Callithrix jacchus: one gene and its partners. The protein of the gene in region 6 purifies or fractionates together with the protein of the main gene of each other region. This does not show direct contact. Links are inferred from orthologs where the notes say so. Each region holds a gene or a part of one and is shown on either strand. Other genes may lie near its edges. The genes, in order: OSBPL10, RMDN3, RASSF3, VPS13C, ZFPL1, VAPA and AKAP11.

Region 1 (4,103 bases), on a different chromosome or scaffold from region 6:
AACAAACGAAGGCGTTTTCAAAGTTTCTATTTTTACCCTCTTCTCTCTTCCTTTTCAGTAATCCAACTCTCCCTTGATAAGACCCCTCGAGAAGGGAGAATTTTGCAATCACAGAGTCATCATAAATCTTCTCCAAACCACTAATGGACCCTCAGCCATCGTTCAGAGAACCCAATGTGGGAAATAGAAACCCTGACACTGAGATGTTAACAATTATAGACAATGCTTACGGAGTCAGTGGTAGACTTGGAAAACGGTGAGTACACTGTGGTAAGAACAAACATTGGCAGACAGCTATAAATCGCAGTAAACAAACTCAATAAAGATGAGACATCACTTAAGCATGCTCAGAAGTGCACATAATACCACATTTCACCCAGGTAGCCTGCAATCACGTAGCTATTATTGTCATTAAGCGTGCTTCTTCTCAACCTTGCCTCCAATCTAAACACCAAAACGGGTCTAAAATAATGCAAAAGAAAGGTACTCCACTGCCTCCTAAGTTCACTCCAAAGAACAAATCCTTTAATATACATTGCAGGTAAAATAATTGTTCCCCAGCAAGTAAATAATAAAATAACTGAAATCCAGGATAAAAGCTCTGTTGGCCTCATAAGCTACTTGAAAAAAAGACTATTAAACGTGATTGCTCAACACACCAACAAAACACTGTCACTGACAAGACCCCTTGAGTTGCCCTTAATAAGACACAATTAGCAAGAACTGAAATCAGATTTAGTCATCTCCTTCTCCCTCTACCTACGCACTCTACCTATTCTTTTTCATCTTTCACGAATTGAAAGGGGAAAGGGAGAGGCAACAGCGGGCACTAGGACCATTTTGAGAAATAAAAGGATTCAAAAGTTAAGTGCAACTTCCACAAACATAGTAACACATCTCCCATGAAGCCCAGGTGACTCAGAAAGTCCTGTATGTAGAATATCAATACAGAAACAACTGTTTCGGTACTTCAGAAGTCCTCTTCCTTCAAGTTCAGTTTCATGTAAATAACTGCCTGATATGTTTCAGATGGAAGCAAATCTGAACATTTCCCAACAATCTACTGGAAGAAATAACCAAGTAAGATAGTCCATGCAGCAGAGATAAGCAACTTTCCAGGGTATGATTCAAATCTCACGAACATCCTTAAAAGCCCCAAGTCTATTAAAATCTGGGGACCATTAAATAGGCAGAACAAAATATCCCACCAACCACCTCTCCAAAAAGCATTGTTCTCCTCTCATGGGACATTTGTATTTCCCTCTGGCTTGCTTTTGACAAACAATCTGAAAAAAAAACAAACAAACAGTAAACAGCAGTGCCACATCTGTCCCTCTCTTCCTCATGATGGCAGATCTCACACACGCTACCACCATTCCAAGTCTCCTGAGCCCTTTCCTCACCAGCCCCATCCTTCCACGTGTGTATAACTAGGCTTCTCAACTGTGAGGGGGAAGTGAGCAGGAAACTTCAAAAGGGACCTGAAGAGGAAATAATGAAAATAATGTAAATTGCTATTAATATTAAAAGGGAGGAGGGTTGGTTTTTTTTTTTGGTGTTGGAGTCTCACGCTGTCGCCTGGGCTGCTGCAACCTCCACCTCCGGGTTCAAGCGACTCTTCTTCCTCAGCCTCCGGAGTAGCTGAGATTACAGGCACCCGCCACCACACCCCGCTAATTTTTTGTATTCTTAGTAGAGACAGGGTTTCACTATTTTGGCAGGGCTGGTCTCGAACCCCTGACCTCGTGATCCACCCGCCTCGGCCTCCCAAAGCGCTGGGATTACAGGCGTGAGCCACCGCGCCCGGCCTCTTTCTTTATTTAAACAAAACTCCCATTACAGAGATCGGAGGGTGCAAGGCACAAACTGGGGCAGGGGTATGTAAGGTCTCCCAGAATGACAAGTGGCAGTTTTTTTGTTGCTAGTGGAGGTGTTCGGAAGCACCAAACTTTAAAATGAACTGTGTTACGCAGAAATTTGCCGTAATCGGAGCAGGCGTGCTAATGCTTTTTCACCCAGGCACAAAGCACGCCCCTTCTGCCTCCCTTTCCCTGTCATTCTTCAGAGGTGCGGGAGACCGCGGGCAACCAGAGCACCGGGACCAGCACGCTCCTCCTGCCACTCCAGTCTCTGCAGGTGCCAGCACAGAAGAAAACCAGGGCTCTCGCCTCCCTCCCCGCCACTGCGGTTCCGTCCCGGGGTGGGGCCATGGCGCGCCCCATCCTGGGCACCCCACCTGGAGGGGAGCAGGGACGCAGGAAGGGCACCGTGCAGAGGCATTACTAGTTTCGCTGAAGGCACAATCGCGCGCGCGCGCACGCACACACACACACAAACACACACACACACACACAGCGGCGCGCGAGGAGGGGCGCGGGCGGCTGGCGCGTTACCTGTTCTGCCAGCCCTGGAGGAGGTTGGTGTATTTGCTGAGCACGCCCTCGAGCGCCGGCTCCCTCCTGCGGCCGCCTCCCCCGGACGGGCTAGCGGCCACCGAGCCCGGGCTGCTGCGGCTGCCCCCGCTACCAAGCCCGGCTGCCGACGACCGGCTGGAGACCCCCCGGCCCGCCAGAGAGCAGGAGGGCGAGGAGCCCGCCGAGGTGGCACGGCTGCTGCTGCGGCTGCTGCTGTTGCTGCCCCCGCCGCCGTCTGCGCCCTGGGCCGCCCTCTCCATGATCCGTGCGCGCCCGGGACGCGGGTGCCCGCCGCGGTGGCGGCCCCGGCAAGGCGGCGGCGGCTGCTGATACAGCTCCGAGCGCCCGGGCCGCGCGTGGCTGCTCCAAATCCCCGGGAAATGCCTGACTCATACAGGAGGAAGAGGAGGAGGAGGCGAAGGAGAGCTGGGAAGGAAGCCAACGGGGCTGGATGCAGCTGCGACCGCCCCTCCTCCCGCCGCGGCCAGGGCCGGCCCCTCCCTCCGCACTACTTTCCCGGGCAAGTTCGGGGCCGGTGCCCGGCTAGGCGAGCCCTCTTCGGGTTCCTCCTCCTCTTCCTCCTTGTCCCCGCGGCGTCTCAGGCCCTGGGGACACTCTAGGAGGCCGATCTGCTAGGTGGGCACGCCCTAAATCCACGCCAAGTCACCCTCGCATTCCTTCTGCCACGCTCTCTAGGATCCGAAGGGGCGAAAGGGAATCTCAGCGCGTCACTCCCCACCCCCTATCCACCTCGGGACCTGGAGGGAGGGGAGGGGCGGCCCCACCCACCCCCGGATATGGACCCGCCCGGCCTGACTGGCTCACACGCACACTCCCTCTCTCGGTCTTCCGCACACGATCGTGGGCCAGACGCTCCTACACAGTAATCTGGAAATTATCACTGGCGACGCAAAGTCACAGGACAGGGAGGCCCTCCGCGCGTCTGGCGGAGGAAGGGAGTGGCAGGTGATCCTCACAGGTAAGCTCGCCGGGCATTTTCATGCAGCAGGGTTATGATAAATGCTTAACGGACACTGAGCTGGGCTGCGCTGGGCTGGGCTGGGCTGGGCTGGGGTGAGGCGCGCGAACTCTCAGGTTTTTGCGAGTGCCTCCTTAAATTGAGTGCCCTAGGTAACTCACTGGCCTAAGCCTAATCCCCTGCCCTGAATGACACGCATAAACCTGGCAAGTCAAAAATCTACCCATTGTTAGCACGCCGCACATGTACCTGGGAGCAGAAGCTCTGAAACCAGGAAAACTGTGGGGGAGGCAAGGGAAATTAACAGATATTTACAAACATTGAAGGATTCTCTGTGTTGGCTGTAACTTCTGTGCCCCTCTTCCCACCTAAAGATGCTCTTTCCGCCCCACTAATAATTTTTGTTAATATAGATATCCATTGCAATCTGAAATATCAAAAATTACCTAGAAAAAGCTTTGAGGAGCTCAGACTCTCTCACACACAGACAAAACAAAAGGTGGTGGATGATAGGTGATCCCAGTCCAAAGGATCTGTGAACCCATGAAGCAGGTAAATACTTAAACAGTTAAAAAAATTCCTGAATGAAAGAGTCAGCTCCCAAGGGGGCAGTTCCCCCGAGCTTGACCCCTTTCTAGCTTCACATCCTTCCAGGAATATTTCACGGGTGGTTTAGCTCTAGAGATTTTCACGGAGAAGCTTCTGGAGCT
Region 2 (4,072 bases), on a different chromosome or scaffold from region 6:
AGTTTTATTCCTTAAACTGTGACGTGGGTACCTCAGTATTTTACAGTGCTTCTTAACAATGTATGTATACTTTAAATGTATTTTTTTTTAATTAATTAAGAGACAGGGTCTCACCAGGTGCAGTGGCTAACGCCTGTAATCCTGGCACTTTGGGAGGCCGAGATGGGCGAATCACGAGGTCAGGAGTTCGAGACCAGCCTGGCCAACATGGTGAAACCTCATCTCTACTAAAAATAAAAATAAATTTAAAAAATTAGCTGGACATAATGGCGGGCGCCTGTAGTCCCAGCTACTTTGGAGGCTAAGGCAGGAGAATCGTTTGAACCCGGGACCCGGCGGAGGTTGCAGTGAGCTGAGATTGCGCCACACTGCACTCCAGCCCGGGTGACAAAGCAAGACTCCGTCCCAAAAAAAATAAATAAATAAATGAGAGAGAGACAGGGGTCTCACTCTGTTGCCCAGAGCCGAGGGTGTTCATGGTTCACTGCAGCCTCTACCCCCTGGGCTCAAGTGATCCTCCCACCCCAGCCCCTAGAGTATCTGGGACTAATCACATGCCACAACCGCAGGCCTCCTGCATTCTTGTATGTATACAGTGTCTCACAATTAAAGGGTAAATAAACATAAGATCTAGTCAAGTGTATTGGGAGGACTGGCCTAGATATTTCTTCTTTCACTAAACTGAAGAAATGTTCACAATAAAATTGTTATCACAGTTCATAAAATCGGCGTTTTTAGTTGCCAACATTCTAAGAAGTCGCATACAAGAGTAAAATGGAATTATTAGATGGCACGTTATGTTTAAGATTTATGGCCGGGTGCGGTGGCTCAAGCACTTTGAGAGGCCAAGGCGGGCGGATCGCTTGAGACCGGGATACCAGGACCCAGTCTCTACAAAATAAAAATAAAATGTGGGGAGAGGGTGACGTTTTCCAGAAGGGGAGGTCCAGGCAGAAGCACAGGTAGAAAGTGTGAATATGCTGAGCGTATTCCGGGAGCAGCAAGTAAGCCGGTGTGACCGGAGGGAACTGCAGCTCTGGCTGCCGGACACCGATGGTGACTGCGTGAGCGTCCAACCAAGAAGTCTCCTGCTTTCCCGCTTTTCCCAAGCCTTCTGCCCCTTTCCTCTTCCCTTTCGCGCTCTGTGCTGACTCCGCCCCTCTGGCGTCACTCATCGCCCCGCCCCTAGGGGAAAGGAGGCGGGGTCGTTATTGTCATCTCCCTGCGCCTTCCCGCGGCGCGTCTAGATGCTGGCGCCGTCTGCCTGACGTCACAGTCACGGATAGCGTGAGTCCGCGGCGGCTGCTGCCATGGTTGCTGGCTGCCGGGTAAGGGTCTGAATTGATCTCTTGCCAGGCCAGAGCTCCTTCGGGGGCTGCGGGGGAATACCAGGAGTTTGCAGCTAGGGCGGCGGGTTTGTGGTCTGCAGTGTCGTGAGGCCGAGGTGGGGGTCGAAGGCCCAGGAGCCGGACTCTGAGCCGGGTCGAGGGGTATGCTGAAGCGGCTGTTACGTCCAGGTTGGGTGAGGGGAGCGGCAGTGGGGCCCTGGGGGCTGGAGGAAGCTTTAGGGTTCACACTGGGGTGCAGGGAGTCGGGAGCTCAGGGTTTGGGCAAGGGGATGTCTGCTGGGGTTCGGCCTGGGGGAGGCTTTGCCAGGCTCACGAATCTCTCTCTTCCTACCCCTGCCCGCCCACCTGGGCGCCTGCCTGCCTGCCTGCTCCCGGTGGCTTCTGCGGGCCGCAGGTACAGCATGTCTAGACTGGGGGCCCTGGGCGGTGTCCGTGCCGGGCTGGGACTGTTGCTGGGTACCGCCGCCGGCCTTGGATTCCTGTGCGTCCTTTACAGCAAGCGATGGAAACGGACCCGGCGCCGTGGCCGCAACCAGAGCCTGCCCAACTCCCTGGACTATACGCACACTTTAGAGCCCGGACGCCAGGGTAGGAGCCCATCCCGAGACCGCAGTCACTGCAGACTAATGGGCCTGGGGTCCGGGCTGCTTTTGGTGGAGGCCGTGGGACTGGGCAACGGAGGGAGGTGCCTTAGGGTTTCACTGTTCTGGAAGCTTGTTGAAAAATCAGTCGTCAGGCTGGGCGCGGTGGCTCACCGCTGTAATCCCATCACTTTGGGAGGTCGAGGCGGGCGGATCACCTGAGGTCAGGAGTTCGAGACCAGCCTGGCTAACATTCAACCAGATTTCAACATGGTGAAATCCTGTCTTTACTAAAAATACGAAAATGAGCGGGCGTGGTGGCATGGCCTGTCATCCTAGCTACTGGCGAGGCTTAGGCACGAGAATTGCTCGAACCCGGTAGGCGGAGGTTGCGATGAGCAGATTGCACCACTGCACTCCGGCCTGGGCGATAGAGTGGGACTCTTGTTTGGAAACGGTAGTTTGGAAGTCTCAACGAGCAATCACCTTAGATTGCAGTTGATTGTCAGCATTTTCTAACCTGGTGATAATTGAGCCTGCAGATTGCACCACTGCACTCCGGCCTGGGCGATAGAGTGGGACTCAGTCTCAAAAAAGAAAAGGCAGTCGTCGTTTTCTGTACTTTTTCCCCTCTATTACCAAGAAAATATATTTCAAAAAGTCTGCTTAGCTTTCACTTTTAGTTCTGGCCACAATAGTGCTATGCGGATATTAAAGGCACTTGATTAGTGTTGTGTGAGGTGTGTAGTAAGTAGAGGAAGAGTCCAAAAGAGGGCAAAAAGAGTCTTGTAGGAATTAAAAGTCTTGAGGCTTATGTATTAAATCGTATATTAGAATTTGAAGGCAACTTGGAAACTATCTCATTCAAGTTTTTTTTTTTTTTATCTGTCCTATGAGGAAACCGAGATTCAAAAAGATTGTGTAACTTTCCTGAGGCGGTCACAGATTAAGTGGAAAGGTTGGGCTTGGTCACCTGGTCCAGTGGACTTTGTACGGCATAGGGCTAGGAGCACGCGTCATGAAGTTGAAGCTGAGTGTGGCTGGCAGCCTGCAGAGCTGAAATGAGTAGTTCTTTCAGATTTGCAGAACTTTCCTTGTTTGAGCAAAGTATCTAGGGCTGGTTCACACTACTACCGTCTTTGTTTGAGAGGAGTGTTTCTTTTTTCTTTTTCTGTTTTTTGAGACAGTCTCTCGCTCTGTTGCCCAGGCTGGAGTGCAGTGGCATGATCTTGGCTCACTACAACCTCCACCTCCCAGGTTCAAGCGATTCTCCTGCCTCAGCCTCCCAAGTAGCTGGGATCACAGGCATGCATCACCATGCCCAGCTGATTTTTGTATTTTTAGTAAAGATGGATTTCGCCATATTGGCGAGGCTGGTCTCAAACTCCTGACCTGAAGTGATGCACTGGCCTTGGCCTCCCAAAGTGCTGGGATTACAAGTGTGGGCCACCGGGCCTGGCCGGGGGAGTGTTTAGATTATCTCACCCCCATGCTAATTGGAAATGAGTGTTTTCTCTGATTACCAATGTTAGCTTGTTTGGAAAAGGTAGTTTGGAAGAGTCTCAACGAGCTATCACCTTAGATTGCAATTGATTAGCAGCATTTTCTAACCTGGTGATAATCTAGTATTGCAAGTGTGCTTCCTTCCGTTTCCTTGTCGTTTGTTTGCAATTGCCCAGCTATAGTCTTCCGAGATGAGAAGAGAGTGGCCACATTCACAGGATTCTTTCTTGCTCTGCATTCTTGAACATTATTGGCTGTGTGTTGTGGCCTGGCCTAGTTTACCAGATTTCCTTTAAGAAGGGATTTTGCTTGATGTATGTGGATCCTGCCTCTCTGGTTTCTTTCTTGTTTTTGTGTTTTCCAGTCCAGTTACCATAGGTGGCTCTCACTTTGGTAGCATTTCACTGCTGGAATTTACTCAGAGTGAGATTTAGGGTTGGGTCCATGGGGCTTAGTAATGGTGTCTTTATGAGATGGTTTGAATGGGCTTTTTCTGGTATACCTTTTCTTTTAGCAACTGGCCCCTTTCTCTTAGTGGGGGGCAGTTACTAAGTTCTGGGAGAAGCTCCAGGTTTTCCCTGCTATTCTTTGTGAAGTGAGAGATCAGAATTTGAGGGAGCTCCATTTTAGTTTTGCTGT
Region 3 (3,500 bases), on a different chromosome or scaffold from region 6:
TTTCACTGAACAGTTACATTTTTTTCCAGCAGTTTAATTTACTGAAACTGGCGTAATAATGCCTCCTTGATTAGGTTGTTGGGAGAAGTAAATGTGGTACAAGTTAGGTACTCCATCAGGGTGACAGAACGCTGCAGTGTGGTCATTTGCGATCACGTCTGCTGCTGTATAATGTCATATGCTGGTGGGACTCTTTAGACAGATAATTATTGATAAATTCTTCACAGCGAGAAGAGGATTTGAGTCATATTTCTCCCTCTAGAGTATGGGGAGGTAGAGAGGTGCATGAGACTGGAAGGGTGGGGAGGTCGCGGCAGGGGTGGGAAGGAGAAGTCTGAGTACTTGTATCTTGGCCTGGGGATTTGTTTGGAAGATGAACTACCCTCTGGTAGATGTGTACAGTTTGACAGGTCAGGGATTAGTGTGAGTCCATGAGTAGTGCCAGTTAATATTAACTGCTGTACTTTTTGCCGATAAATATTGTAAAGCTATTAAGACAACAGAGTTAATACAGTTTGCTACAGAGAAACTTGTGGTATATGTCTTTAAATGTTGTTTAAAACAGAAATGGCCACTCTAGCAGGCACGCTAGAGTGATGTTTTTGCAGAAGAGAAATTTAGCAATGACAGTTTTGCAGAATAATATTGGTAATGAAGTGTTACTTCTAGCTGCTGACAAATTAGTTTTTTTTTTTTTTCCAATATATCCCCAAGGGAGACTGTAGTCTGAAAGAATGAGAACTGTAATTGGTGGATGAGCCTGGAGAGTTTGAAAGAGAGAAAGGGAAGCAGTGAGGGGGAGAGGGAGAGAGTGTGTGTGTGCCTCAAGGTGACATGCAAGAACAACAAGGTCGTTCTTGTGTGGGATGTAATTTATTTTTATTTATTTATTTAATTTTTGGAGACAGGGTCATACTATGTCATCCAGACTACAGCACAGCACAATTATGGCTCACTACAGCCTCCACCTCTGGGCTGAGGTAATCCTCCCACCTCAGGCTCCCGAGTAGCTGGGACTACAGGTGCACACCACCATGCCCAGATAATTTTTGTGTTTTTGTAAAGATAGAGTTTCAACATGTTGCCCAGCCTGGTCTCAGTATCCAGGGCTAAAACTTTGCCCTGCTTGGCCTCTCAAAGTGCTGGGATTGCAGGCATGTGCCATCATGTCTGGCCCTTGTGTGGAATTTAAAAAGACTCCTGATTCCCCCCCACCCCCTTTTTTGAGACGGAGTTTCACTCTTGTTGCCCAGGCTGGAGTGCAATGGCATGATCTCAGCTCACTGCAGCCTCTGCCCCCCGGGTTCAAGCTATTCTCCTGCCTCAGCCTCCCGAGTAGCTGGGATTACAGGCATGCGTCACCTGCCTGGCTAATTTTGTGTTTTTAGTGGAGACGGGGTTTCTCCATGTTGGTCAGGCTGTTCTCGAACTTTCAGTCTCAGGTGATCTGCCTGCCTCAGCCTCCCAAAGTGCTGGTATTACAGGCATGAGCCACCTCGCCTGGCCTGTCCGCATTTTTTTCTGTGATAGCTTACATGTGACTTGGCTTGTTTTTCTTCTAGGATGTCGAGAAAGAGAAGGAAACCCACAGTTACCTCAGCAAAGAGGAGATCAAAGAGAAAGTTCATAAATACAACTTAGCAGTCACAGACAAGTTGAAGATGACCTTGGTAAGTACCCATAATACTGTTTAGGTTGACACCTGTCACAAGACAAATGTAAGTTGTTGGTATTACAATCTATATTTCTAAATATCTGAATAACATTTGTAGAAGTGTAATAGTCAAGTATACAGAACAGGAAAATGGAATATTTCCATGGCTTTCCAAAGTACAATTTAAATCTGTACTTTGAAGTAACTTTGTCTAAAAAATCAGTTGCTGGGTTACCATTAAAAAAGTGAAACACTTAAAATTTTATTTTAAAAGATTTTGTGACCCACCCCTCCCTCCCCAAAGGATTTTTAGCAGCATTGCCTGACATACAGAAATAGAGACTCAGATTCTAACAAGACCTCAGATAAGTTTTTTTTTTTTGAAACAAGATTTTGCTTTGTCACCTGGGCTGGAGTACAGTGGCACAATCATGGCTCACTGCAGCCTCAAACTCCAGTCTCAAGTGATCCTCCCACCTTAGCCTCCAAAGTAGCTGTGACCACAGGCACTTGCCACAATGCCCAGCTAATTTTTATATATTTTGTAGAGACGGAGTTTTGCCATGTTGCCCAGGCTCATCTCAAATTCCTTGGCTCAAGTGATCCACCCTCATTGGCCTCCCAAAGTGCTGGGATTACAGGTGTCAGAAGCTCTGAAGTTTTTGTCTTGTACAAAATAAATATGGAAATGTCAGGGAAAGGATTTTGAGCCCATAGAATGGAATATACAGGTATATAGTAGGATATTTTTCTCTGCCAGTTGTTAGTGTAAGACGAAGTACTTAATACTCAGTTTCCTCCATGTCGTTGTCCCAGGCTTCCACAGCATTGCACCACACTGTTTGAAGCACACAGAGAGTGGGCGTACAGGAGGGAGAAGGCTCAGGGCCTGGTGACAGGGAAACAGGAGCTGACAGCAAAGCTAGAGTATTCCTGTTCCTCTAAACTGAGCTGGCATCTAGGTCTCACCCACCCATTGGGTGGTTGGCTTTCTTCATGGTGCTTGTCAGTCCTTGGTGCCAGTTTCCAGGGCACTTGGACCTCTCTCTCTCAGTCTGTTCACTGTGAACTGACAGAGTTTGGTAAAGGACAGGGTGACCAGTTTAAAACAGGCCCTACTGAATCCGGTTATTCTTGGGGAGGAGCTTTCAGATAGAAATACTTTTTGTAAAGGACCCCCTCCCTGGTGGAACTGCTCCAAAAAGAAGGGAGAGGGGCAGAGAATCCCAAGATAACTCTTCATCATTCCAGCAGCAAGATTTCTTTTTTTCATCAAAGGAGAATTTCACTTCCTATGTTTTTTTTTTCCTTTCCCCATCAAGATTAAAACAGATACAAATATTCATATCATTTTAAAGATAAAAATTTTAGGTCGGGCATGGTGGTTCACACCTGTAATCCCAGCACTTTGGGAGACCAGGATGGGACCAGCCTGGTCAACGTGGCGAAACCCTGTCTGTACTAAAAATACAAAAATTAACCAGACGTGGTGGCGGGCACCTGTAGCCCCAGCTACTCGAGGCTGAGGCAAGAGGATCACTTGAACTCAGGAAGTTGAGGCTGCAGTGAGCTATTTCATGCCACTGCACTCCAGCCTGGGCGACAGAGTGAGACCCTGTCTCAAAAAAAGAAAAAGAAAAAAAAAAAGAATGAACAAGAGAATTGTTATTGCAAATTGATCTTGTGGGAAGGAAGAAAAATAACCCACCATAAAAGTGATTTTAAATGTTCTACTTTAACTGCTATTTATATATAACACTTGACAATTCGTTTTAATAAAACACTATAATAAATCTTTTCTTTCTAAATATGCTGTTTTGGTTTGTTTGTATTTGAGACTGAGTCT
Region 4 (3,500 bases), on a different chromosome or scaffold from region 6:
GATTCAGGCTCAGGAAACCAGTTAGCTGCTAACATACCATTTGATTATGCTTAAGTCTCCTTGAGCCTAATTCACACCAATGGCATTTGGCAAACAGGTAAGCATGGTTTTAGGGAAGGCAAATAATTCCCAAGTTTCTAGATCAGAAATTTATCTGTTTTAACTTACTATGTGAATAAAACCACACCTTATTTTTAGTAAAAATGTTCTTCTTCTTGAAAGAGAATAAAATAATATCCCTGAAATCAGCTGGATGTTTCACATGAATATCTTCTGAACGATACTGGAGAACCCGGGAGGTCTTGTTGATGAGCCAATAGGGACTAAAGACAGACAGGACCATCCGGCTGCCACTGCGCCGGACATGTACTGACAGATCGACCGTCGTCACTTCTGTGGAGTCAGAAGAAAAACACACAGGAAAGAATTCTGGAAGTGTATCACGTATTCGGAAATGTCCATTCCAGTTTTTGCCCTGGTATTTCACCAGGACTAATTCCATTATTTCACCACTGATTCTCGAATGCAGGACATCAGCAGTACTGCCTTCTGCCAGCTCATGAGTTTCTGCTGTTCCCTGAAACCAAACAGAAACTTTATTAGTGATTTTTTAAAAACCTTTGAAATAAAATCCATATTTTTCATAAATGCTAAATAACCTACCAGTTGCAAGTTAACTGCCAAGTCTTCTGTGCAGTACCTTGCTTATATATTACAAATGTCCAGTACTCGCTAAGGAATAAAAAGCAAACACTGTACCATAGCCACAGGCAGAAAGTGACTTTGGCCATTAGGAGGCTAATCGCCATGATTTTGTGAAAAAATCAGGTCTATAACAAGAGTCAAAGACTGGATTCAGGAAGCTTGGCTGTTGTCCATTAGAGCTATGGCTTTAAATGAGCCACTTCAGTGCCTGGCCTTCGGTTTTATCCTCTATCCATGCATCATGCCTAACGGTTGCCACATGAATGGAATAAGAAAAGTGGTATCAAACTATTCTGACGAGTAATCTAAGGTGGAATTATTTGAAAAATGAATAACAACATAGAAACCAGGTTTCCTTACTGAAAACTCCTCTTATGTAAATACTATTTAAGTCATTTAATTAATTTTTGTCTCCACAACTCAGGAATGGCTCATTACCACATTAAAAAAAATAGGTTCCAAATACTTTCCAGATTTTAGTATTTTAAAATATACTGGCATACAAAAATTTTAAAATATTTATCATACTCCATTACTAGAAAATCCTTATTACTTCTTTAGACAGACAGTAAATTATTTTTATTTTCCAAGGTTTAGTTTCAATAGGACCTTGAAGAAATAATTATAATATTTATTTTAAAATAAAAAATGTAAGAGGAAATATTTTCTCATTTTTTCCTATCTTTTGGTTAATGGAATTTTACTAAATTAACAAAGAGATGATCATGGCTCTTAACTGAAGGAAGACGCCACAAAGAGCAGGGATCAAAAAGCCAAACTGCCTAGGTTCAAATCGCATCTCTACCACTGCCCAGCTATGGGCCCTTGAGCCGGTCACTTAACCTGTTTTCAACTCAGCTTCCTGATACATAAAGTGAGCCTAATAAGTACCTACATCAGGATTCTTATAAAGAGTAAATAGGCTGATACATGCAAAGTACACAGAGCAGTTCCTGGCACACAGTAAATGTTATGCCAGTTTTTGCTATCATTAATATTATGAAGGCATTACAAATTACATATATGCTATATAAAGCAGTGACCTCAATTAAAAATACCATAAAACAATCAAAATTTACTCTGTGCCGCAATAAAAATCAAACTAAATGCAAAAGACGTACCTCAAGTAAGTATCTTAGAGAATATGGGAGAAGATTTCGCAAAGTGAGAGAAGGATAAAGATGAATAAGGTAAGCTAAATCCCAGTCTTCCCCATGTGTACATATGTAGCTTAATTCATCAGGCAGAGCCACTGTATTCACGATGAGAGGTAAGAAGCTGACTTCTACTGATGGACACTGCAACATGCATCTGACTTCCCTGCTCCTATGAAGTTCTTCCTTCCAGGAAATGTAAGTGGTGGATTCCTTGTACTGATGCTCTAAGACTCCAGCTGGCTGGATAAACAAGTGACATCTGCAGAAAGAGGAAACTGTGAGAATAAAGTTTTGATCCAGAACTTAAGACAAAGAATCTTATTAAATCTTCCTGACAACTCTAGAAGATCGGTGCTATTATTCCTGTTTTTACAGATGTACAGATGAGGAAACCAGGGCTGAAAAAAAGGTTACAAATTTCACCCAAAATCACATACCCAACTTGTGAAGGAACTTTCTAGGGAGGGGGAAAAAAAAAACTCTGTAAACAAAGACAACTTAAAAACATTTTTTCATTTCAAATACAAAGGCAATCTAATAAAAATACTCAGAAAAATTCTGACATCAAATATATTATAAGGAATTTTCATCTGATAAATTCAATGATAATATAATGTAAATGTATTTCGTAATGTAAGAATAAATTATGTCTTAAAATTGGCTTTTACCAATCTTTACATAATAAAAATATGAAGTTATTTTCCAGAATATAAATCCCCAATTCACACAATTAAAAATATGTATTATGAATTTTTAATGCTCAGTACATTTAAAGAAGTATCTACCTATATGAATCTAAAGGAACATGGAACTCCTCTTCAGGTCTGGCTATCCCAATACGCTCCAATAGCTTAACATTCTTAACAAATTTATAGATGATAAATGGAATGGAGAAATGGTTTTTGATCTGTTGGACAAAAAGACATACAAATTTTTTAAAAGATACACAAGTTCAAAAGAAAAATGAGAGCCATACACAATTACTTTTAGATCTAAAAAACTTCAAACTCAATACTAGAAAATATTTTTACTGCCAACTGAAAAATTTCAGAATATTTAGGTGTTATATATATTACACTTAATGTTTAGTGGCAGTTGAAAATTTAGGTATTCAAATGCTCCATGTATTATCAGCTTATGTTTACTATTAGTCTATATTATCTTTCAAATATGTATTATTCTTTGAAGATTTAAGCCATTTTTTCTCTGTGACAATCTTTTCTCAATGTATCATGTATAATAACTAAACAGAAATGAATAGCAAAAAAAAAAAAAAGAGAGAGAGAGAAAGAAAAATAGTGCAACTCTCTTTCCTTGACTAAAGTCTGTTATGCACCGGAGCAAATAACAAACTAAGACATAACAATGACCAAAATTTGAAACCTTTGTATTTTTATTTATCTGATGTTAGAGATAAAAAAAAAAAGTTCTTTTGCTGACCACATACTGAAACCTGTAGTCACACAGAGAAAAAGAAAAATGTTGGAAAAGCCTTAAAAGTAGAAATATTTACAGAGATTAAGATGCTAAAATGTTTTTAGAGGAGGAGATCATTCCAATATCCCTTCATACATACTTGAAAAATATAATCCAAGTGGCATACAAAGAGAATGGAATGTTGCCTAACTACAATTACAA
Region 5 (4,040 bases), on a different chromosome or scaffold from region 6:
ACTTAGGGCTCCTAGCCTAGCATCAGCCCCCAGACCACTGTAGGGACATATGAACACATATATGTATACCAGAGTCTTCTCCTCCCCCTTCCCCCCCCTCCCCTAAAGGTCCGTTTCATCAGTGTTCCCTAAAACGTCAGTCTTCTTGGCTACCACCATCTAAGTTCAGGCAGCTGCTACCAATCTGTCCAGTTCACAGGGGTGAGGTTGGGTGGCAAGAAAATGTCACCTCCCGTTGAAGTGAGTCCTCTCTGGGCCTGCACTCATCATACTCTTTGGGCTAATGGCTAATAATGAACAGTTTCCAAAAAGTTCCTCGATATACACACAGGAACATATATATACGTTCATATCCATGTGCACAAATGTACATGTGCTTATAAGCACATACTCAAACATAAGTGGCATTCCCTGTTATCTAGACTATGGGCACCATAGCCCTCACACATACACATCTATATACTCACAGGTTTGCTCACACTCAGGCACCCTCAACCATGCATTCTCTTGCACTCCCACAACATACCTGTATTCATATGTTCACATATGTACATTTACCCATTCACTCACCCCCAAGTACTAATCAACACACTAACACTCATTTGAACACACCATGTTCACTAAATGCCTGCAAGCACACACTTGCAACACACAAGGAGAAACACATAAAGAGCTGTCTCTTGCATGTGCTCCTTCAAAAATGAGCTGTCAGGCGCAGTGGCTCCTGACTATAATCCCAGCACTTTGGGAGGCTGAGGCGGGTGGATCACCTGAGGTTGGGAATTCGAGACCAACCTGACCAACAAGGAGAAACCCTGTCTCTACTAAAAACACAATATTAGCTGGGCTTGGTGACGTATGCCTATAATCCCAGCTACTCAGGAGGCCGAGGAAAGAGAATCGCTTGAACCTGGGAGGCAGAGGTTGTGGTGAGCCCAGATGATGCCACTGCACTCCAGCCTGGACATCAAGAGTGAAACTGTCTCAGAAAAAACCCAAAAAATGAAAACAAAAACTGGAGCTAAGGCTCTTACTCCAGATTCAGGTCAAAGTCATGACACATATGTCTGCTGACTTCTTTTAGCTAACTTTAATGTGGGAAACTCACTTCCTCTCTGTTTAGCCCTGGAATCAGTGTTGGATCCTAAATATCCGAAACCTTGAGAGCTACATGCTGGTCTGGCTAGCTAATAGTCACAGCCACCACCATACCCACAAGCTTGACTGGCTCTCGCTCAACCCTCCAGATTGGCAGTGTTTTAATTTTTAGGAAAGAGGAACTAGGAGCTTTACTATTTTTTTTTTTTTTTTTGAGACAGAGTTTTGCTCTTGATACCCAGGCTGGAGTGCAATGGCAATCTTGGCTCACCACAACCTCCGCCTCCTGGGTTCAGGCAATTCTCCTGCCTCAGCCTCCTGAGTAGCTGGGATTACAGGCACGCGCCACCGTGCCCAGCTACTTTTTGTATTTTTAGTAGAGACGGGGTTTCACCGTGTTGACCAGGATGGTCTCGATATCTTGACCTCGGGATCCACCCACCTCGGCCTCCCAAAGTGTTGGGATTACAGGCATGAGCCACCGCGCCCGGCCTGGAGCTTTACTTTTTAGGAAAGACAGTGAGGCCTAGAAAGGAAGAACAACTTGCCTGAACTTACAGAGCAGGTAAGGAACTTTAACAGAACTAGAATCTGGGCTCTGAGACTTGGGGGAATCACTGTCCTGCTGCTTGAGACGGGCCTGGAAACCAGTCACCAAGCTGGCCCCTGAGGCTGGCCTGATCCCCCCAAGATGCCAGGGCCTCACCATAGCAGACAAGGCGGGTCGTCTCCCGGCTGGCCAGGGGCATGTTGCACAGGCGGCAATTGGGGTTGTAGTCGCTATCCTGGAGCCACTGCAGGTAGGACTGGACGATGCACTGGAGTGGGAGAGAGATGTCACAACTGGTGCTGGTGCTGCTCGGCCTATCACCCCAAGGTCCAACAGCCTCTTTTTCTCTAGTCACAGAGGAGACTCATCCTTTCATTTGTTCAATCAATAAACATTTATTGAGCACATACTGTGTGCCAGACTCTCTCTTGGGGCCAGGGGATATATCAGAGAACAAAATAAACCAAGTCCTTGCCCTCGTGGGGCTTACATTCTAGCGCGGGGCCCCTCATGGATTTGGAGGAAGCCAATACCGCCTGCCCACCCAGTGCCCTGCTCAACCGCTCCCCCTGAAGGCCCCACCTTGGCGTGATTGGCTACCAGGCAGTGTTCGCAGACGTTGACCCGATGTTCGAAGCAGAATAGGTTGGTCACCTTTCTCTTGGGGCACTTACAAAGCCCCATGATCGATCCTGGGAAAGGGAGTTGGTAGGAAGCCAGGTTCTGGTGGCCGCCACTACGCTCTTACCAGCCCAGTTTCCACTTAACTCCCCAACACCTCTCATATTCGCCCCGACCCCAGATTCCTGCTCACTGCCCTTCCTTAGGCGGGAAAACATTCCCAGCATAAGTCCCGCCTCCGGCGACCCCTCAATCCTTCTGGTTTCCGCCCCCGGCCAGGTCCCTCCATCAGCGACTCCCCAATACCACCGGCCCCGCCCCCAAGGCCCCTCCTGAGCCCCACCCCCTCCAAGCCCCGCCCCTTCTCTACAGACCCCAGTCTCTGTGTTTACTGATCGGCCTCTGCACCAGTTCCGAAGGGCGCTAGCGATGATTCGAGGAGCGGTAGGGCAGGGACCACGCTCCCCGAGGCTCCTGCTCCGCTCCCTTCAGCCTCGGCCGTCTCGATTACCCCTCCGCTGCCACGTCTCTTCCGGGTGCGGCGCGCGCTGATGACGCCATCGCACCACTGGGCCACGCCTCTATGACGCTAGACGTGAAGACGGGTGGAAAAGACTGGGGCATGATCCAGGCGCTGCGGACCTCTCGCTTACGTCACTTCCGCTTCCTTCCCCGCAGGGCGGGTAATTCGAAAGTTTCTTGCAGCGAGTGGCCTTCCCGGTTGGCGCGCGCCCGGGGTGGCGGCTCTGGAGGAGCTCGATACGGAGCCTAGTTATGCCTGGGAGGCGAACGCGGTCCGGAGGGGCCGCTCAGCGCTCCGGTGAGCGGAGGGCGCGCGGGAGACATGAGGTCGAGCAGTTTGGGGGACGCGGTCTTGTGAAAGATGGCCCTTCCCTCCGGCTGCTACCGCCGCCGGACGAGGCGCCCTTAAAAGAGCTTGTTTGGGAATCTCGCTTTCTCTAGACTCTGTTCTCTGGACTCTAAGACCTAGAGTCCTCTCGTAACTTTTCTCTCTTTCCAGGGCCAAGGGCCCCATCTCCTGTTAAGTCTGTGCGGAGGTCCCAACGGAAATCAGGTTCTGATCTCCCAAGCATCCCCCCTGAAATCTGGCCGAAGGTGAGCCGCAGGTTTCTCACTTCCTCCCCTTGTCGCCCGTCACCTAATGTAGAGCTCATCTTCATCCTTCTTCTCCAGACACCCAGTGCGGCAGCAATCAGAAAGCCCATCGTCTTGAAGAAGATCGTGGCCCATGCTGTAGAGGTAAAAGCTAAGATAGGATGTTGTGGGTTGGTAGGTGGGCAAAACCAGCTATGTGATCAATTGGTATTGTCACCCGCAGGTCCCAGCTGTTCACTCGCCTCGCAGGAGCCCTAGGGTGAGTTCACTTTAATCTACTTAGTTACGTAAAATCAGGGCCACTCTAGAGCTGGACAGTACACATTGGCTGCTCACATCTGCCCAGGGAGCTGTTTTGCAATACTGCAGTAAGTTTGCCTTTGGGCACCTGCATGCATTGCCAGTCTTCATTACTCCCTGAAGACTTAATACACCTAACTTTTTATGCCTTGTGTACTTCTACCATTTTTCCAGAACTTCTTTTAAAAGCTGAGCTGTGTCTTAACTGCAAGTACTATCTTTCTAATCCATTTTGTCGTCAGTTTTCATTTATGGGTGGTCTAAGGTAAGTCATGTGTATGATATTTTTACAGCTTTAGCAGAAGTTATTATCAAAGGATGTTTCATTTATAGAAAATCTGGGCCAGGTGCAGGG
Region 6 (2,594 bases):
AAGAAAATTCCATAGGCTTGCTCAGTATTACCAAACTTCCATAATGAACCTTACTTTGAGTGCCAAACTGGGTGGGAAAAAACACCTTTTAATTATTATTATGAAATGTTACAAATAAGACTTATTAGACTGGTTAAAACGTATTTTAAAACCAAGGAGAGTTAAATCTTGAGAACATACTCTCAGAACTTGTTATGAATGGGGCAAATCAGATGGAGCACAGCCATGCTGAACACATCAACTCACTGAAATCACGTAACTTCTATTCTCATGGACCTTATTTTCTATTATCTTGAAAACAAATTAACTGTAATCTCCCAAAATACTAGTAGTACCTTGAAATTTAATCAACTCCTTTCCTTAACAGAATTAGGGCTTTCAATTAAAAATACTGTAATATCTGAGAGGGTTTCAATGCAAGAGAAACCTTTGCATCATAATTTCAAGTGACCGTATATAGTGGACTCCCCTCTAATAACACGACAGACACAAACAAGCTATGAAGCAAGAATCTGTTAACAGTTTTATTATTTTTTTATGTTAAATACCATGGGACAGGATTGTAAGGATGAAAAACTCAGTCAACAACTGCCTCACAAGGGATAAGAAAAATTCTGCCATGATATTAGCAAAGGTAAAGGAGGAAAAAATTTACACTGTAAGAGGCACCATTTCCCCACGGAATACCTCTTGGCATTTCCTGAATGAGTGGGATTAGCAATCTAAATAAATCATATTTCAAGAGGTAACAGCAACAGATAAAATTTAAAGGGATTATTAAAATAACATTTACAAGACTCTGAACAATTCTTGAACTCTTATTAAAACCACAAAGAAAGAACAATTCTTTATTTATGAATTTCATAAAGGACTGAATGTGCAACTGACATCTGCTAGTGATGATCTGGTAATATACAATTTGTCCAGTAGCCGAACAGTTTGTTTTTATTGTGTTTTCTAACCGTAAGAGATCATTAAAGGCAAAGCCTATATGACGCTGTACACACAAAAAAATGGTCACCGCGGGCCATACTACCAATGAAATGGTAGGTAAACAAATCTTTTTCTGGTCAAGAGAAAAAAAAAAGAAATAGCACTCTGCATGCTTCACTCTACAAGATGAATTTCCCTAGAAAGAATCCAATGAAAATGGCTGCAATTACAACAAGAAGTGATGGAAGAGGACTGGTGACATTATCTCTGAAGGATGCAGTTGAGGTTGATCCAGGTTTATCCGAATGTGCTACCTTTCTGAGCCTTAAACCTTCATCCTAGAAAAAAACACACATACACAAGAGGTTTTTAAAAACAAGCGTACTAACAAGACTACTGAAGCTAAAAATCTACAGGGATGGAAAGTAGATTAGTGGTTGCCCATGGCGGGGGACGGAAACAGGAATTAACTGCTAACCACAAAAGGAAAGTTTCTGGGACTGATGGACACATTCTAAAACTGAACTATAGTGATGGCTGCAAAATTCTATACATCAGTGAATTGTATATTCACAATGGGTGTCTCTATGGGATGTAAATTATACCTCAATAACACTTGATGTTTTTAAACTGGAGCTGAGAAATGTATTCCTAAAATACAAAAGTCAGATATAGTTATATTTACATTTTTTTTAATCCCACTAAAAACACAATTAAAGAAGAGTTCTGTACACTTACTTCCAAGGTGGCCCACGGTATTTAAAATCAGTTGCATCTGTCCCAGCCCAGTGAAAACTACCAAACCTGTAGTTTGCCAGTTGTGTTTACTGGCCTACTGCAACTGAGGAACCGGAACAGCAGAAGCACAAAACAGAGATACGGGGATCCCAGAATTTGGGGGAAGAAAACAGCTTAGTATGAAATTTAAGTAACAGTGTTTTCATATGCTCAAAGCAAAGCAAACGGCTGTGTGTAAAGCAGTAGCACCAGGTCTGGATTGCAAAGCAGGCAAAGAATACTATTTCTTCAGAAACCATAAATTTAGATGAGAAATGTATATAGGAGCCCCCTTATCTGAAGCTCTGCACCTGGACTGGAAACTGAGGGTGCTTCTCTGTGTCAAAATGACCTAGAGCCTCCAGGTAAGAATGGGTTGCTTCTTTCTTACTGCTATGGCTTCACATAGCACCGTCTTTAGAGGACAAGGTTTCTGAGAAGAAAGCAGAAGTCACTTAAGGCAGGAAGTTGTTATGACACTGTGTGCAGTATGAAACTTGGGGAAAATACTAATACCTGTTAACTATGCAGCTGGCTTTATCTGTGTCTCTTATCCAATCTGATGAATGGCAGGACTGATTTTTACTTTTTTCAGTGCAAGGCAAAATGTTCTCCCAGGATTCCTTCATTGTGCTTATAAATAAACACTAACTAAAAGAGTTTTATTTGCATTACTGAATTTTCTGGAGTTGGGTTTTTTGGGTCCTGTGTAAAAACAGCAGTAACTCTCAGTTTCAGCTACCCTTCAGTAACATCTGCAGAACTTTTAATACTCCTGTGATTCTGATTCACTAGGTCTGAGGAGGGCCTGGTAAACTGAATTTTTTTAAAGCTCACTGGGTGATTCACATGCAGTATGAATTACAAACCACAGGGTTTTTCAT
Region 7 (3,500 bases), on a different chromosome or scaffold from region 6:
ACTCTAAACTCAAAGTTCTTTTCTCTATATGAGGAAGTATGACGCTTTTCACATCTGCCAATATTTTATATTTTTAACTCGCACTTCTTTTCACAGCCACCGATATTTAATGTTTTTCTCTACGCCCCTGCACAGAACTGATGTAAATGTGAAGTTCCGCTATTATTACCACACATGCTAATACCCAATACCTGGTCCGTCATTAAGTAATGGTTAAATATGGAAATGCTGAAGCCAGCACAGCTCCAGCAAAATGCAAAGGGAATCAGAAAAGCCTCATCCCAGAATTATTACACCATAAACAGAAATAGACATAAACATTTTCAAACACAGAAAGTTTTACAAAATAATATATCATCACTTTAGTTTAAAAGAAATTCAGAACTCTGTTTTGCTGTTGATGCACTCAAGTTACTAAACACAATTTGATAGTTAGGTACTTGTAAAAATGCATTCTAAACATAATAATCAATTCATAATTACCAAGAGCAAACATTCCTCGTCCTAACCTTTAAAAACCCGGTCCAGTGCTGCCACATCTCAAGTTCTTAAAAGCTAAAGGCAGAAACAATTCTGGTTATACAATTCTGGCATTTCTCCACCTTAAAAAATACTTGAAGAAACTTTAGGAAACTTGATATTTAAGGCTTGCTCTATTTCTGCATCTTAAATTGAGAAAAATCAAAACCTACAATGTAACCTCAAACTATTTAAATAGCTTTTGGCCTTTTTCCTAAAAAGCACATTTGAATCTTTTATAAAACGTATTTCTATACCACAATTTCTAATTCACATTAATGTAAGTGCCCTTATTCCTTATTCCCTGGCGGGCGCGATGTCTTCTACGTTTTATGCAGCTTTCAGAACAGTCAGTGCTCAGAAAAAATGAAAATGTAACGCAGTAAAATCAAAGCCCCCACAAAAAGTGATTTATCCTAGATTACAAAATCCAGCTCTGGAAAACCAACATTTACACACACCCACACGTACACAGGACATGGGGGGAGGTGAATGAGAATGGGGGGGAGGTGAGACACAGTCGGGGGAGGAGGAAGAGGGCAGAGGGAGGCAGAAAGAAAAGGGGCAGGGAAGAGAGAATGGGTGGGGAGAGTGAGGAGAAGGGGAGAGAGAGACAAAAGCAAGACACAATCTTGGTCCTCTATTCATGTCATCTTGCAGTGTCTGGAGACAAACTAGTAGGAACTGTAGAGCCCAGAAAGGTCATGTCAGAGAGCCTGACAAGATACTGTAGACACATTTTATCAGGGGGCAAAAATCCCGATTTTTCTAGAAAAAAGCCACACTATCGGTAGACAGTTTTTAAAAAAAAAATCCAACAATAAAAACTATTGGGCTTCTGTAAATGCGTTTCCATATTAACATTAATTTTTAAAATTCCAACATGTTTTACAATTTACATTTTCACCAAGACTGTTCAAAAACAGGAATAAACATTCTTACTGCACAATCCTTCTAGACATTGTATTTTAAAGCACCTTTTTAAATTTTAACAGTGGGTTTCTAAAAAGAAAATAGTAAAATAAAAGAGGGAACAAACTAGCAAGGTTCAAGTACTCCACACACACACGCACGCACGCACGCAACCCAACACAAAATCACTTTCATGCCAGAATGACTGGCAGCGTTGGCAAATATGAAAGGATGGGGAAACTATCACTTACAGTGTTTATAGAAACCTAAAACACTAATGTTTCTACTAAGAAATTAAATAGGGGAAATAAAGCCACCAACAGCTGAACTATGAAAATGAAACTGATTTTTAAAAGCAGGAAAGAAAGACCAAAAATCTACTAGAAATTTAAAAAAAATTAGCCTCAATCTTATTTTCTGATGTCAGACTAGTTATTAATTAGATACCATTTGTCTGCAAAGGAGCAAACTTAGAACTCCATGGCTGGAACCTATCCTCAGCACTTCAGTGCAGCTTCTAGCAGCACTTGGATACAAAAAGAATGTGGTCAGACAACGCCCCTGAACACCCCAGGGTTAGACCTCCCTTCAATTACATGTTCTTAGGGTTCTGACACACTACACATGTATATAGGAGAATGAAGATAGTTATTTTGACAGAGATTACAAAAGTATGAACTATATACACCAGGTGATAACACAAAGCGCTTAGAAAGCTCTATTTACTTTCCTCCCAATTGACTTACACTGTTAATACTCACTACTCAAATTTTATCCTAATCATCTGCACTGGCTTGTTCTCCTCCCCAAACAAATACTAAAATATGCTGGTCTGGGGTCTGTTCTATGCATTTTCCAGGACCCAGTCAAACAGTGACTTGCATCTCTCCTCACTGGAAGCGTTTTCCATCACTTCGTAGTACTGAAGCACAGCCTGCAGGAGGTCTCCCACTTTCCATCCTTTCTCTTGTAACCGTTTTGAAAGCTGAGAAAGAAAGATGTGTCAAACATGAACCAAAAACCATTTTATAACAAAGCTTTTCTTTTTATTTTCAATATTAGCTGAAACTAAGAATCCTGCTGTTTCCGATTAAATACTGTTTCCTAGTTATAACAAGGTCTTCTCCTCTAAACTGCCACCCCTTTACCCAAACTAAACATTTTCCCTTCTTCGCCTTTATAAATACATCTCTCCCAGAGAATGACACTTTGGGATCGCTGGAGACAGAGCTCCACAAACCTCACCCAGCGGATAGCCTGTGCGGGTGTGCAGAGGCTGTTTCTACAGGAAATTCTTCACCTAACTAAATACAACTGCCACACCCTCAATTAGAACATAAAATAACAAAGGCAACAGCAAGCTTAATAAAGGGATGTGGATTTTCCTTCCACAACATACACAACATAGAGTGTGGTATTTTTCTGGAACAGACACTCTAGCCTCAACGCAAACACGGCTTTCTAAGTTAGGGAATGCTCATGTTTCAACAACAACAACAAAAATAAACAAAGAAATACAGGTTTAAATAACTCTTGTTGTTACCACTCATGACATGCTTTTGCTCATTTCTTTTTCTACTAAGTTCTATAAAAGTTCTTAGGTTCTGAAAGATCTCTAAGTTAAATTCTGAAAAACTACTTTAATTTTGTGTAACATACATATGCTTAACTTTTTTACAAAACAGCTTTGAGATAAAATCCACCCAATATATAATTCACCCAAAGCGTCTCAGTCAATGGCTTTTAGTATGTTCTCCAAGTTGAATGCAACCATTACCACAATCAACTGGAATATTTCCACCACACCAAAAGGAAAGCTGTGATAAAGAAAATTGTGTGACAAAAACCTTAAGACTGCATACTGAAAATCTTGACTAATAAGGTGCTTGGCACATAGTAAGCATCTTGTTTAAACTTTTATCAGCTTTTGATTATGACAGCTTCTCATGCGAATGAAACTGGATTATCAAAGAAAGAGACATATTAATTACTTTGGTGCAATTATGAATCAATTAAATACAGAGAATAGTTCATTTTTTTTCCCATAGGAACACACACAATGCTTATTA

The links.
Region 1: the proteins of VAPA (region 6) and OSBPL10 purify together in Homo sapiens (co-immunoprecipitation; 4 studies listed by BioGRID and IntAct, counting the BioPlex papers as one, with this or other methods). This does not show direct contact. The link is inferred for Callithrix jacchus from reciprocal best matches to the Homo sapiens genes VAPA and OSBPL10.
Region 2: the proteins of VAPA (region 6) and RMDN3 purify together in Homo sapiens (co-immunoprecipitation; 4 studies listed by BioGRID and IntAct, counting the BioPlex papers as one, with this or other methods). This does not show direct contact. The link is inferred for Callithrix jacchus from reciprocal best matches to the Homo sapiens genes VAPA and RMDN3.
Region 3: the proteins of VAPA (region 6) and RASSF3 purify together in Homo sapiens (co-immunoprecipitation; 3 studies listed by BioGRID and IntAct, with this or other methods). This does not show direct contact. The link is inferred for Callithrix jacchus from reciprocal best matches to the Homo sapiens genes VAPA and RASSF3.
Region 4: the proteins of VAPA (region 6) and VPS13C purify together in Homo sapiens (co-immunoprecipitation; 3 studies listed by BioGRID and IntAct, counting the BioPlex papers as one, with this or other methods). This does not show direct contact. The link is inferred for Callithrix jacchus from reciprocal best matches to the Homo sapiens genes VAPA and VPS13C.
Region 5: the proteins of VAPA (region 6) and ZFPL1 purify together in Homo sapiens (co-immunoprecipitation; 3 studies listed by BioGRID and IntAct, counting the BioPlex papers as one, with this or other methods). This does not show direct contact. The link is inferred for Callithrix jacchus from reciprocal best matches to the Homo sapiens genes VAPA and ZFPL1.
Region 7: the proteins of VAPA (region 6) and AKAP11 purify together in Homo sapiens (co-immunoprecipitation; 3 studies listed by BioGRID and IntAct, counting the BioPlex papers as one, with this or other methods). This does not show direct contact. The link is inferred for Callithrix jacchus from reciprocal best matches to the Homo sapiens genes VAPA and AKAP11.

The regions. Positions count from the first base shown.
Region 1 is NC_133518.1:70,218,676-70,222,778, forward strand, and holds the start of OSBPL10 (oxysterol-binding protein-related protein 10), read right to left. Parts: upstream 2,801-4,103; 5' UTR 2,675-2,800; coding exon 2,394-2,674; intron 1-2,393. UniProt on the Homo sapiens protein: Probable lipid transporter involved in lipid countertransport between the endoplasmic reticulum and the plasma membrane.
Region 2 is NC_133509.1:45,816,680-45,820,751, forward strand, and holds the start of RMDN3 (regulator of microtubule dynamics protein 3), read left to right. Parts: upstream 1-1,272; 5' UTR 1,273-1,328; intron 1,329-1,743; 5' UTR 1,744-1,750; coding exon 1,751-1,937; intron 1,938-4,072.
Region 3 is NC_133510.1:54,612,960-54,616,459, reverse strand, and holds part of RASSF3 (ras association domain-containing protein 3), read left to right. Parts: intron 1-1,562; coding exon 1,563-1,670; intron 1,671-3,500.
Region 4 is NC_133509.1:8,779,673-8,783,172, forward strand, and holds part of VPS13C (intermembrane lipid transfer protein VPS13C), read right to left. Parts: intron 2,770-3,500; coding exon 2,648-2,769; intron 2,122-2,647; coding exon 1,827-2,121; intron 578-1,826; coding exon 188-577; intron 1-187. UniProt on the Homo sapiens protein: Mediates the transfer of lipids between membranes at organelle contact sites. Necessary for proper mitochondrial function and maintenance of mitochondrial transmembrane potential.
Region 5 is NC_133511.1:122,149,535-122,153,574, reverse strand, and holds the start of ZFPL1 (zinc finger protein-like 1), read right to left. Parts: upstream 2,801-4,040; 5' UTR 2,644-2,800; intron 2,341-2,643; 5' UTR 2,333-2,340; coding exon 2,231-2,332; intron 1,917-2,230; coding exon 1,805-1,916; intron 1-1,804. UniProt on the Homo sapiens protein: Required for cis-Golgi integrity and efficient ER to Golgi transport. Involved in the maintenance of the integrity of the cis-Golgi, possibly via its interaction with GOLGA2/GM130.
Region 6 is NC_133514.1:52,968,922-52,971,515, forward strand, and holds the end of VAPA (vesicle-associated membrane protein-associated protein A), read right to left. Parts: intron 1,272-2,594; coding exon 1,113-1,271; 3' UTR 501-1,112; downstream 1-500. UniProt on the Homo sapiens protein: Endoplasmic reticulum (ER)-anchored protein that mediates the formation of contact sites between the ER and endosomes via interaction with FFAT motif-containing proteins such as STARD3 or WDR44.
Region 7 is NC_133506.1:161,427,939-161,431,438, reverse strand, and holds part of AKAP11 (A-kinase anchor protein 11), read right to left. Parts: intron 2,417-3,500; coding exon 2,276-2,416; 3' UTR 1-2,275. UniProt on the Homo sapiens protein: Binds to type II regulatory subunits of protein kinase A and anchors/targets them.